Linked DNA regions of Kluyveromyces lactis. The protein of the gene in region 1 purifies or fractionates together with the protein of each later gene. This does not show direct contact. Links are inferred from orthologs where the notes say so. Each region holds a gene or a part of one and is shown on either strand. Other genes may lie near its edges. The genes, in order: POR1 and HSP60.

Region 1 (3,120 bases):
TCCAACAGGTCAAAAGTAATTCCTCATCCACAACACTATCTTCCGTAACCTCAGTATTGTCAAGAAAACTTGAGCTGGTCCACAATGTAATGTATCTTTGCTTTATATTTCTCTACATGGTACATATTCCTGAGACTCAAACGACAAGTTCTGAACTGAAAAATACACTACGTATTTTTCAATCATGCAAGAATACCGTTCAGAGGATTAGAGGGCAACAGGGAGATGTTTAGGTTTTCATCATGACTTCGGAAAACAAACACAGATGCAGTCGTCAACTGTCAAAAAGCGAATGTGAACTGTCACTGGTGTGATGCTATTCGCCATTATATTTCAAAAGACAATACTACCACATCATTTTCAGTTTCAAGGTATATCTAACTATTTTCTACTACTAGGAAACTGCATTTTCATATTGTTAACTCAAAGTGGAATTTCGTTTTATAAAGCCTAATTATTGTTCTCGAAGTTTAGTTTTCATGATAACTTTTCGTTTTTCCGGTATATGAGACAAAGGACCGATTTCTCGGATATTCACGTGACTGTTTAACAAGAAAATCTACACACCAAGTGGAGAATCTTGCCTCCGCCATGTGAAAACCAAACTAGAAAGAGGAGAGATGCACACATACACAATTCTGTTGGAAGAAAAAAAAAATTGTTGCGTACATAGCGATATATTCACGTGACTCTAAATGCGAACGTCATCACCCCGGTCCCACTGCGTGTCTCTTCGAGTCAGCACTAATAAAAGTCGGAAATCAAAATGCAAGAAAGGATTCCAGATATATCCGGCGCAAATGAGTCGCCTCCAATTGTCAATCATTACGTGGTCTCTTTTTTAATTAATTTTCTTTCGGTTTTTGTGTAGAGCTCTCAAGAGTGCCGGAGTGATAGATTAAGACAAACTGAAATAGGGAAGACTACAAAGCACATGGGGTGTAGACCCAAACTATCAATAATTGCAACATGATAGTCCAATTAACGTGTTCTATACACTTCCATCAATAACCTGTATATAGCCATTTTTATTTAGCCTCAAATGATTGATATCTGTATGCAGTATGTACAATCTACAAGATATATGCTCGAGAGCAAGTGCGTAAAGAATCTCAAAGTGAGTTAGTCCGACATCCGCTCTTAAAACGACACCTCAGGCAAAAAACTGAGCTACTCTCCAGTTGCGTATAGCAGTCCCCGCTACCCCACTATAGACGTGCGTTCCCACTGTATTAAATCTCTCGTCCCCTATAATTTTCACTTGGGAAGCCTTGTGCTTTCCAATGTTTACATTTTCTGGCTACACGGTATTTTTGTTGAAAACTGTGAAAAATCGAGAAAAGTTCACATTGTCATTATTTGTATTTATAAAATCGATATTATATATAAATGAAAGAGATCGAGATATTTTTTTTTGGGAAATTTGCGAAAAATCTTGGATGCACACCGAATTAAAATGGTGTCTGTCTCTTGCTTTTGTGTTATGTAGTAGTTCCTTCTTGGTTTTAGCGGTTGACTGAACTCTAATTGATTCACATTTAGATCAATCGCACTTCCGAAAGCTTGCTTCCGCCCTCTAACAAAAAATAACTTCAAAGATTTACAATGGCTCCTCCATTCTTTTCTGATATTTCCAAGGACATCAATGGGTTGTTGAACAAGGAATTCTTCCACGCTACCCCAGCTTCTGTTGACGTTAAGACCACTGCTCCAAACGGTGTTGCTTTCACTGTTAAGGGTAAAACTTCTCCAAAAGATGGCTCAATTGCTGCTAACGTTGAAGTTAAGGCCTCTGACAAGTCTACTGGTTTGACTTTCACCCAAGGTTGGAACAACGCCAACACTTTGGACACCAAGATCGAATTGGCTGAATTGACTCCAGGCTTGAAGACTGAATTGATCACTTCTGGTGTTCCAGGTGTCTCTAAGGCTGCTAAGTTGAACGTTAACTTTGTTCAACCTTTGTTTGCTGCTAGAGGTTTCTTCGATTTGTTGAAGGGTCCATCCTTCGTCGGTGACTTGACCTTGGCTCACGAAGGTTTCGTTGGTGGTGCTGAAGTTGGTTATGACATCTCTGCTGGTGCCGTCTCCCGTTACGCTTTGGCTTTGGGTTACAACGCTTCTGGTGCTTATTCCGTTGGTTTGTCCGTCAACAACGCTCAATTGATCACCGCTTCCTTCTTCCAAAAGGTTTCCCCAATCTTGCAAGTCGGTGCTAAGGCTGCTTTGAACCCTCAAGCTGGCTCTAATGTCAACATTGAATTCGCTTCCAAGTACGCTTTGGACGCCGTTTCTCAAGTTAAGGCTAAGGTTGCTGACTCCGGTATCGTCGCCTTGTCCTACCAACAAATATTGAGACCAGGTGTCACTCTAGGTATTGGTGCTTCTTTCGACGCTTTGAAGTTGGCTGAACCAGTCCACAAGTTGGGTTGGTCTCTATCGTTCGCTGCTTAAATGCATACTTAGTAATTTTACACAAGTGTTAAAAAGAAGTGTTACTTTTTTCTAAGTTTATGTTATTTTGCTTTGTCCAATGGATCACCAGCCTAGGTTATCAATTTTGAAATGATTCACATTCAACTAAAGTATCATTCTTCTTGGCGTTCCATTTGATACCGATATATATATATATTGCCTTTCATTTTGTTCGCTTTTTTTTCAGAACAACAATATCCGCTTTGTTTTCATTACAGATATGGCCTCAATTACAATGTTAACGCCTACTTCTTTCGAAGATACTTACCTAACTAAATACGTATTCTTTAATGACCATCTAAAAAATTTTATATCTCAAAACATTCATGTCATAGTAAAGACAATAAAACATGAACACTAACCTCATACTGATTTCCGGATCACGTGATTGATAATTTCCTTCTTTTTGGAACTTTGTTTACTTCAAAGCTATCATCAAAAAGCTTCAAACCTGTACAAGCACTGAACATTGCAACTGATGCCCATTGAAATTCAAGGTTTACAAATTAATAAGCAGCTGAGGTTTATATTAATACACTAACGGATTGAAACTACTACTGTCGGCACAGATAAAAGAACACATACAGAATCAATGACGTCCTCTGTGGTTGATGCGTTGAATGTTGAAACTACTGAGAGCTTGGG
Region 2 (4,009 bases), about 540 kb from region 1:
GTACTTTCCAGCATTTCATTCATATCAAAGTACTATTTCGCTGTGACAATACTATATCAAGTCCAAAGGTCATTCGGGGAAAAATGTCTGACGCGAACAACCCATATACTCAAGTTGACCATTTATTTATATTCAAAGAAAAAACTGCTTTTCATATCCACTCAACAAGTAACATTTCCTAGTTGTGATAAAGCAGCAACAATGATCTTGGTAATATACTAAATTTTGAAACGCAACTGGGACTTTTGAGTGCATTCTTCGATATTAAAGATTAGTACCAAATAATAATTGCTCACGAGTGAATAAGAATATTTCAAGAGATAAAAAGTGCACAAAACACAAGCCTGAGATGAAGCCCAAAAAACTAATCAACTAACCAATTAAAACTTGTAGTGAGCAATGTCACTGTACTCTACCAGCTCCTGATTTTACCTAACACATTCATTTAAATCATGTGTCAATTGATTAGTTCAAATGTCAAGTGAAGCAAAGAATTCTGTCGCGTGTCAAAAGTTGGCGAGTCAGTTAATTTCATGTCAACAAAATGAAACACTTACGCACGTGATTGGCAAATAGATCGCAGCAGCTTCAGTACATTAGTCCAGCGAGCCAAAAAAACCTCAATCGAGTAATTCTTTGCCTGGCATCTACACATCACGTGACTTAAATCGATACTATCGAAAACATAACTCCTTCCTACAAACCGCCGCACTGTCGAGGAGAGCGTGATCAAATAGCGAAACTATTTCATGACCGTTTCTGTCGAACTTTCTGGAAAAATGAAAAAAAAAATGAAAATAATGTGAGCGGCCATAAGGCATCATTCAAAACGATGTACAGCTCCTGATTCTCCAGGCGAAAAGCCAAATCCAAAAAAACTGGACATCCAAATGTCTATAACAAAAATGGACGAATGACGGTTATATTAGGTAAAAATAATTCAGTTAGGTAATGGTGGTGAATAGCGAACTCGGAGAAACTGCCAGAAAAAAATAATCGACAATAGCGGAACCTGCCTCACGATTACAGAAGAGGATAGAACTCTTGTGTGTATATAGGAATTTTAATTAACTCTTTGACTACTTTTTTTTGGAATTAATTAGCTGGCAGAAAATGAAAGAATTCTATGGGCTCGCAGTGGAGTTCAGCAATGCGGACATGGCTGGCTGCTATCTAGTAAGAGTTAACCCAACTATTGTTCGAATCCTTATTCCTATTTCTCTTAAATGTGTAATCTGACCGGTTGATCCGCAACTTTATATGCCATTTTCTGTGTAGCTTTCTTTCCAAATTTCTCGATTTTATCATCTTCATTTTTTAGATATTTTTTTCACGGAATATAAAGGAAGGAGTAGAGGCGAAAAAAAAAAAGGATTTATAAAGGATCAAATAATTATAAGATTGGAAGGATTACTAGAAGCTAAGTGGTTTTTTGATTGATTGATTGTTGTCTTCTTTGTGACATTAGCTGAAGGAACTAGTGATAGCAAGATTTTCGAAGCAAAAGTAACATTTTCCAGTAGGTGGTGTTTTTTTTTTTTTGGATTCTGATTTCTTTACCTGTTATAGATTTTTTAATATACGAGAATAGTCACTATGTTGAGAAGTACCGTAAAGCCAGGCAATTTGACCTTGAAGAGAAGCACTCAATTGTTGAGTCGTCGTCTATATTCTTCGCACAAAGAATTAAAGTTTGGTGTTGAAGGTAGAGCTGCCTTGTTAAAGGGTGTTGAAACTCTAGCGGAAGCTGTTTCTGCCACTTTGGGTCCAAAAGGTAGAAACGTTTTGATTGAGCAACCATTTGGCGCTCCAAAGATCACCAAGGATGGTGTTACTGTTGCTAGAGCCATTACTTTGGAAGATAAGTTCGAAAACATGGGTGCTAAGCTTTTACAAGAAGTTGCTTCCAAGACAAACGAAGCTGCCGGTGACGGTACCACTTCTGCCACTGTCTTAGGTAAGGCCATTTTCACTGAATCCGTTAAGAATGTTGCAGCTGGTTGTAACCCAATGGATTTGAGAAGAGGTACTCAAGCTGCTGTCGAAAAAGTAATTCAATACTTGTCAGAGAACAAGAAAGAAATCACCACTTCTGCTGAAATCGCTCAAGTGGCAACTATTTCTGCCAACGGGGATGCTCACGTTGGTAAGTTGTTGGCTTCAGCCATGGAAAAAGTTGGTAAGGAAGGTGTCATCACTATCAGAGAGGGTAGAACCTTGGAAGATGAATTGGAAGTCACTGAAGGTATGAGATTCGACCGTGGTTTCATTTCTCCATACTTTATTACCGACGCTAAATCTGGTAAGGTGGAATTTGAAAAACCTTTGATCTTATTGAGTGAAAAGAAGATCTCCTCAATCCAGGATATCTTGCCTTCTTTGGAATTGTCAAACCAAACCAGAAGACCATTGTTGATCATCGCCGAAGATATTGATGGCGAAGCTTTGGCTGCTTGTATTTTGAACAAGTTGAGAGGTCAAGTTCAAGTTTGTGCCGTTAAAGCTCCAGGTTTCGGTGATAACAGGAAGAACACCTTGGGCGATATTGCCATCTTGTCTGGTGGTACTGTCTTCACTGAAGAATTGGACCTAAAGCCAGAAAACGCTACCATCCAACATTTGGGTTCTTGTGATTCTGTTTCTATTACCAAGGAAGATACCGTTATCTTGAATGGTAACGGTCCAAAAGAAAACATCGAAACCAGAATTGAACAAATCAAGAACTCTATTGACTTGACCACTACCAACTCTTACGAAAAGGAAAAGTTGCAAGAACGTTTAGCTAAGTTGTCCGGCGGTGTTGCCGTCATTAGAGTCGGTGGTTCTTCCGAAGTCGAAGTCGGCGAAAAGAAGGACCGTTACGATGACGCTTTGAACGCTACAAGAGCTGCTGTCGAAGAAGGTATCTTGCCAGGTGGTGGTACTGCTTTGCTAAAGGCTTCTAGAGTCTTGGACGAAGTCGCAACAGAAAACTTTGACCAAAAGTTGGGTGTTGACATCATCAGAAAGGCCATTTCCAGACCAGCTAGAAAGATCATCGAGAACGCTGGTGAAGAAGGCTCCGTTATCGTCGGTAAGATTATCGATGAATACGGCCAAGACTTTACCAAGGGTTACAATGCAGCCAAGGGTGAATACACCGACATGTTGGCTGCTGGTATTATCGATCCATTCAAGGTTGTCAGAAGCGGTCTAGTAGACGCTGCTGGTGTTGCTTCTCTATTGGCTACCACTGAAGTTGCTATCGTTGATGCTCCAAAGCCAGCTGGTGCTGCTCCAGCTATGCCAGGTGGTATGCCAGGTATGCCAGGCATGATGTAAAGTGGAACAATTACTTGAAAACTTGAAAAGTGAAACAGATCAAAGAAAACAACCGTCAAAAAATGTTAGAATTACAAGAATTTTTACTGAACATTAGCTTTTTCACCTAAAATACATTCCACTTTTATTTAAATGAATATATAACGTACGTATAATGACGATCCCGTGTAAATAAAAAGATACTTCTACATGTTTAAATAGTTTCCTCATCATCAACCCGCTTTTCAACACTTCCTCTGTCCTTGACAGGATGGCTAGCATTCTCCAGAAGGTACAGAGAAAAAGGAAAAAGCAGAGTGAAAAGAAAAAAATTTGGGGCGAGCTGGGAATTGAACCCAGGGCCTCTCGCATGCTTTGCAGTAGTTAAACCTCGTTTATCGAAGCTTCGCTAGGCTATTAACCCAAAGCGAGAATCATACCACTAGACCACACGCCCTAATTTATGAAAACTGAAAAGCGTCATCTTGTTACATTGAAAATGCAGTACCATAACTTATGAGTATGCATTACCTGATTTTGCCAAAAGATGACGTTTAAAAATTAAGGTTGGATTCACTGCCAACTGTTAAGATCGATGTTGAATTATCATCAATGGCAAGCAAACAAAGATATTCCACCAAATAAGGCACTTCAAAATAACAGTTATGAAACGGGTATTTTGGTTGTTATGTCCAGTTTTATTTTTAGC

What was found.
Region 2: the proteins of POR1 (region 1) and HSP60 purify together in Saccharomyces cerevisiae (affinity purification with mass spectrometry, with the first as the bait; 3 studies listed by BioGRID). This does not show direct contact. The link is inferred for Kluyveromyces lactis from reciprocal best matches to the Saccharomyces cerevisiae genes POR1 and HSP60.

What each region holds. Positions count from the first base shown.
Region 1 is NC_006042.1:333,175-336,294, reverse strand, and holds POR1 (porin POR1), read left to right. Parts: upstream 1-1,605; coding exon 1,606-2,454; downstream 2,455-3,120. Other genes in the region: FG-nucleoporin NUP159, read left to right, coding at 3,068-3,120. UniProt on the Saccharomyces cerevisiae protein: Non-selective voltage-gated ion channel that mediates the transport of anions and cations through the mitochondrion outer membrane.
Region 2 is NC_006042.1:871,285-875,293, forward strand, and holds HSP60 (chaperone ATPase HSP60), read left to right. Parts: upstream 1-1,596; coding exon 1,597-3,321; downstream 3,322-4,009. Other genes in the region: KLLA0_F09427g (MFS transporter), read right to left, coding at 1-23; SCS3 (Scs3p), read left to right, coding at 3,966-4,009. UniProt on the Saccharomyces cerevisiae protein: May participate in assembly and/or disassembly of proteins imported into the mitochondrion. HSP60 are ATPases and have affinity for unfolded proteins.